Linked DNA regions of Solanum lycopersicum. The protein of the gene in region 1 interacts with the protein of each later gene in a pairwise test. Links are inferred from orthologs where the notes say so. Each region holds a gene or a part of one and is shown in the gene's direction. Other genes may lie near its edges.

Region 1 (2,520 bases):
AGTCCACCTTTTTCTTGTTTCTCTATAATTTTCAAGGGTTTACTTTCTTTCTCTGTCCATCATTGTTTTCTTGGGAATAAGGGTTATAAGTTTTTGGGATCTGTCCAAGAGATGTACTCTTCATCTTGTGTCATATTGGGAACTTCAGAAGAAATGACTCGGTATTTCATTGGCAAACTATGGCATAAAATAGATGTTACATTTTTTCTTTCATACAACTACTTTGATGCCCTCAAGATATAAAAATGCAATATGCAGTTGCGGCTCTGCTCACCTTTTAGTCTAAGTTTAGGGTGGTAAAACTTTTCTCCATGTACTGCAGGTGGCATGGGATGAACCTGATTTATTGCAAAACGTAAAACATGTCAGCCCATGGCTTGTCGAATTGGTCTCAAATATGCCAGTCATTCACCTCTCGCCCTTCTCACCGCCAAGAAAAAAGCTGCGTCTACCACCAGATTTCTCACTTGACAGCCAGTTTCAGTTACCATCTTTTTCAGGCAACCCCCTCAGGTCCAGCAGTCCTTTCTGTTGTTTATCTGACAACATCACTGCAGGCATACAGGGAGCCAGGCATGCTCAATTTGGAGTACCTTTATTGGATCTTCACCTTAGCAACAAATTACCGTCAGGACTGTTACCACCAAGTTTCCAGCGCGTTGCAGCCAACTCACAACTTCCTAATGTCATCAATAAGTGCCAAAATGACAGAAATGATAACATCTCTTGTTTGCTTACAATGGGTACTTCAAGTAAGACATTGGACAAAAATGATAGTGTGAATACACCTCGGTTCTTACTCTTCGGTCAGCCAATTCTGACTGAGCAACAAATCTCTAACGGATGTTCTGTCAGTGCTCCACAAGTAGTCCAAACAGGGAAAGACTTAGGCAGGATACAACCGATCAACGAAAAACATCCTTCTGAGCAGAAAGGCAGCATTCAAGACAATCTATCAAGTGCAACATTTTTCTGGAATCGAGGTTATCATGCAGCTGAACTTGGTGTACTCAATACTGGTCACTGCAAAGTATTCCTCGAGTCAGAAGATGTTGGCCGTACACTTGATCTGTCAGTTATGGGATCATATGAAGAACTGTACAAAAGACTTGCAAACATGTTTGGACTTGAAAGACCAGATATGCTGACCCGTGTGCTCTATCATGATGCAACAGGTGCTGTTAAACACACCGGAGATGAACCATTCAGGTGCCTTGTTTTTTCCAGTACCTTCTGCTTTTGATTATTTTTCCAGTGAAAATGGTCGTGTATACGTGCGTGTGTGAAGCACACATTGTTTATTTAAAGTTTAATGAACCTTTCTCTCGGACTTGTTTAATTTTGCAGTGACTTTGTTAAGAGTGCAAAAAGATTGACAATTCTGATGAACTCAAGCAGCAATATTAAAAGGTAATTGTCAACCATACTCTTCCTTGATAGCTAAGTCCTTAAAACCGGAAAGTATGATAATTTTCAAAATAAATGTTCCGTATTTGCCACCTTTTGATTTCTTTTAACCTTGTATATCAGGAAATGGTTAACTGGTCTCGCAACTGCTGAACGTGGTCTAGATTCATCAAACCAGGCAGGACCTCTTAGCATCTTTGCATAGCCTCTGTGTGTATAAGTACTTTTCTCGTTCTTTTGTTTTTCGTAACGACTGCTTCACTGCTAGTACTAAGGAACACTATCAGTGAAAATATTATGTTTGTTTCTGTATGGATATTTTGAGTTGCTCTTTGTGTTGAAAACATTCAATGTGCTTTCTTTAACAGTCTGTGGTGCTGTTGTTGGTGTTTTTACTCTGAAAGGACATGAATATGTGAGCCTCCCCCCCCCCCCCCCCCCCCACACAACCACGATGCCCTATCGTTGCATGCTTTATTGTTGAATTGTATGATCTTCTCATCAGATAAGAGTCGATCCTTGTGATTGAGTTTGATTCTTTTTCATGAATCAACTACATTTACATTCATACTATGTTATATTTTGTGATTTTTATTTAGCAAGGTGTAACTTCATTTAAAATGTTAAATGTTTCAATTAGGAAACTAAGAGCAACTATGTTTTGGTCATATGTTTTCATTTATATGTGACATGTTTGCATCTTAGTATTAACATTCTAATATCTTATTGTCCATAGTACTTGGCATGTCAATATTTAATTCTCTATTTTAATGATCAATCACATATTGGAAAAATGACCAGGAACTATGTGTGGAAATAAATGAATGGTCTAGAAGCAAATAGAGTAAAGACATTCATTTCTCACCTACTTTTGTCTCCTTTAAATACTTATATTAATGTGAACTTTGTTCCTTTTTAACTTTTTTTTTTAAATCAAAAGGAACAAATTAATCTAACTTCGAGGAACTATCAAAAATAATTTTTTTATTTCATAAAAATAGACATAATATTTATAAATATCCTATTTTCTTCAAATTTCACTTGTGAGATTTACACTTTATATCTATAAAATGTGTAACTAACAAATGATGGTATTAGTAATAGATGTCCTAT
Region 2 (3,996 bases), on another chromosome or scaffold:
ACATTTTACTTCGATTCAATTGTATGCAAAACAAATTTTATACACATATTGCAGCGAATTATACAATTGCGCATTATACAATTGCAGTGAAATAGGCCAGCGAATTATACAGTTGTACATGTATAGCAAATTATACGGTTATATATTTGCTATGGAGCGCAATTATGAAAACTTTGCTATAACATACAAATATGAATTTTTTGTTTGCTATATGTGAAAGTTGCCCAATAATATATATACATTAAAAAAAATTGACCCATATGTATAAGTATAATTTTTCGATGAAAAATAAAAAAAATATTAGTTCCACCTGATAAGTAGATTCAACGTGCAACTTAAATAACTCAAATATAATTTAAATTTTAAATCCGGCTCGATAGAGCAAAATTTTTTAGTGTGAAATACAAGATTTAAAGGTATGAAGAAGAACATATTGCAAAGATCCTTGTAATGTTGGAAGTATACAACATATGAACCCTACTTTTGTTGGATTTTTTGTGCCCATATCTTGTTTTTTTTTCTGTTATCCATTGAGATTTTCCATGTTATAAATGTCAGTAAATTAAAAAATAATAATACAAAATTAACTAACACTACAATGATTGATTATGGGAAATAAATTCCTTTTATTTCTATGTCCACCATCCATGTTTGCATTTTTCTTAACCTAGATAGATTTATTTCTTTTCTTACAACAAGTGTGTTTTGTTTTGCATGGACATGAAAAATATTAGAATATACGTTCTGTGAGTTCAATTCAATCTATTTTTTTCTCTCACTTAAATTTTATACGTAAAAAAAGGATAGTTTAAAATACAAAACACGAGTCCGGGGAAGGGCCTCCCCTCAAGGAATATGAAATCGTGCACAATATACTTTGACGCTAGCAATAATTCTATTGTTGCTTTAAATATTTCTTTTTCGAACTATATATATATATATATATATATATATATATGAAAAGAATGGATATATATAAAAGGTATAAACTTATTTTGAATTTGATATATTTAAATTTTGAATTTATCACTGAATAGTACTATATTATATATTATACAGAACTTAATTATATGTCTCTTTTTTTCAAGCATATAGCTAGATTTCTTTCTATTCTTGCAAGAAGTGTGTTTTGTTTTGCATGGACATGAAAAGTACAAGGGAGAATGTGATGTGTTACGTGACTTCAACTGAATTCATTGCTTTAATTATTGTTTTTTTCCTTCATTTTGTACACAAATAAAAAGGGATATTTTGGTGCACGAAATATAATGTGTTCACATAGGGTTATCGAAAAGGCTAGTTGCATCACTCCAATAAAGTGTGATGTAGACCGTCTATGTATTCAGACTCAAACATCAATAATCGATTTACCGTTCAAACTCATAATTTATAGGTGATAAATTTATTACCATTTTTTCAAGACTCCCCTCACTTTTTTTCTTCAAACGTTTAAATTCTGAATTTGCCACTAAACAACTAGTACTACTATATAGAGCTTATATGTCTCTTTAATTTATTTCAATCATATACATATCTTGCTTCTATTTATCTCTACATTGACACAGCAAAAATATTTATTTTGTGAAAGAGTCAAATATGGATTCAAATTCTTCTGAATATCTTCTAAACCATGCAACAACTCTTCCTTCTGTTTATTATCAAACCAATAATAAAGAGAATGGTAATTTTATTGATTTGGGACTAAGTCTTAGAGCTTTGCAGCCTGAGGCCTATTATCCATCTACTCATGGTATGTTTATGTTCCCATCTTTTACTTCTCAAGACTATTCTTCAATCAACTCTTTGGTCCATTCGATATTTGGTATCTGTATTATGATTCGATTAATTCAGATTTGCATTATATAAGACCTATTTAAGAATTCTACCAGACTTCTTCATACCTCGAGTCTCTGGTTAAGGGTGAAATATCCCAAGTCTTTTTCTTAATCATTGTATACTGATGTTATAAGATTGATGAGCATATTTTTAATTTGGAAACAATTTAATATTTGATGTTATTTTTATGAATCATTCTTATTCTTATGTATGTATATATATATATAGTTATAGAAGTGACATGAAAAGTTTAAAGAGTGTTTTGACCAAGCTATTGGGAAGTTGAAAATGTTTTGTTAAAATTCATTGATATTAGTGAAACTAATATATAATGGATTTAATCTATATTGTTCGGACTATTTAAAAAAGTCATTGTGGATGTGCATCGAACCCTTCATAAAAAGCACATTATTTGATGATATGATATAGCTTCGATAACATTTTTAGAGAGTCCGAACAACTTAATTAGGACTTAATTGTTAAGTACTTTATGCAGGTGGCTATGATGAGTTGATAGATTGGCAACATTTGCATCCACAATTAAGCAAAAATTCAAGAAGTGAATATCCTACAAATTTTAATAATTATGATGATGAAAGTGAAGGGATTCAAAGCAAAGAGAGATGGGAATATGTGAAGGTTAATATGGATGGAGTTATTGTTGGAAGAAAAATTTGTCTTCTTGAACATTCAAGCTATTCTAGCATTGCAACACAACTTGAAGACATGTTTGGTATGTTCCAACCTATCAAAATTATCATTTATCATTACACTATCATTAGGTCATTTTTAATGTAGTTATAGGTAGGTCGCGATGTCAAATAAGCGAATTGCACTGAATTTGAACTGAACATGTCAAAACTGAATTAATAAATGAGCAGGTGAATTCTTCGTTTTTTTAATGATATATTTAATTACCTCATAATTTGTTTTTTTTTTCTTTTATAAATGGTGTAAAGGTAAACAAAATATGGATGGGCTAAGGCTATTCCAAGATGGTTCAGAGTTCTCATTATTTTACAAAGATAGGAATGACCAATGGAGGATTGTTGGTGATGTTCCATGGAAGTGAGTATTTTTTTTAATATCAAAAAGTATTTTTTGATATTATTAGGTAGGGACAATTAAATTAATCTATAAAAATATGATTTGTCGTAGTCGACGTTCAATCAAATTAATAATTGAACGATAAAATTAACTTATACAAATATATTTGTCTGAATAGTTTAAGTTCAATCGAACTAATGATTCATTCATTTGTCTATATTGACATGAGTCAGATTTTATTCAAACTAGGTCTAGATGACTAATCCAAAATGATCCGTGAGAAATATGGGGTAAAGGGATTAAATTAAACCCCTTAACTTGAGTTTACATGATTTGACTTGTGATAACATGTTTGTTATCATTTTATAAAATTTAAATTAATGTTATCACCGTATAGATTTATCATACTTTATAAATAACATTATCATTTAAATATTTTTAATATCGTTAATACATAAAACTTAAATTCTTATTATTCATACAGCGAATTTGCAGATCGAGTGAAGAGGCTAAGAATTATGAGGAAAGATGAAGCATTCTTCCCCAATTGATCATCTTTTACTAAGTTACGTTTTGATAAATTTCTGACATGTTTTAGTTGTATTAATATTTCTATTAATTGAGTGACCATATTAATTAGGTCCATGGTAATATATAGCTTATGTGGTATTGTATTAAAAGTTAATTGTTTCTACATCTTAATAGATCAATGCTTTTTTTTTTTTTTGGCTTCAAAATATTTGTCCATTAAACTTGATTATAAATATTAAGATTATTAGATAATAAATTTTTTTTAACTAATTTTATCGTAAATTAAAATGTCTATTAGATAATTATCTATGATTGAAAGATCGAACTTAATAGCGGGCTTGTAGCCCAAGGTGATTGGATCGATATTGGGCCAGCCCATAAGGTTGGGCTTCCCTAGCCTACCCTATCCAATAACAAACCTAGATCACAATATTTTTTTTTTATTAAAGTCGAGTTATTTGATACCTTTTATGATGAAATGTAACATATGAATGGTGAAATCGATTGGAATCCGATTTTATTTTCATTATACTTATTTCCATTTTATTTAGTCAGTAAAATCTTCTAACTTCTTGTACAGAT

Evidence for each region.
Region 2: the proteins of ARF10A (region 1) and IAA32 interact in a two-hybrid assay, tested with the Arabidopsis thaliana proteins (2 studies listed by BioGRID). The link is inferred for Solanum lycopersicum from reciprocal best matches to the Arabidopsis thaliana genes ARF10 and IAA32.

The regions. Positions count from the first base shown.
Region 1 is NC_090810.1:59,526,307-59,528,826, reverse strand, and holds the end of ARF10A (auxin response factor 10A), read left to right. Parts: intron 1-322; coding exon 323-1,209; intron 1,210-1,347; coding exon 1,348-1,410; intron 1,411-1,530; coding exon 1,531-1,612; 3' UTR 1,613-1,772; downstream 1,773-2,520. UniProt on the Arabidopsis thaliana protein: Auxin response factors (ARFs) are transcriptional factors that bind specifically to the DNA sequence 5'-TGTCTC-3' found in the auxin-responsive promoter elements (AuxREs). Could act as transcriptional activator or repressor.
Region 2 is NC_090804.1:3,347,210-3,351,205, forward strand, and holds IAA32 (auxin-responsive protein IAA32), read left to right. Parts: upstream 1-1,596; coding exon 1,597-1,750; intron 1,751-2,332; coding exon 2,333-2,569; intron 2,570-2,795; coding exon 2,796-2,904; intron 2,905-3,367; coding exon 3,368-3,434; downstream 3,435-3,996. UniProt on the Arabidopsis thaliana protein: Aux/IAA proteins are short-lived transcriptional factors that function as repressors of early auxin response genes at low auxin concentrations.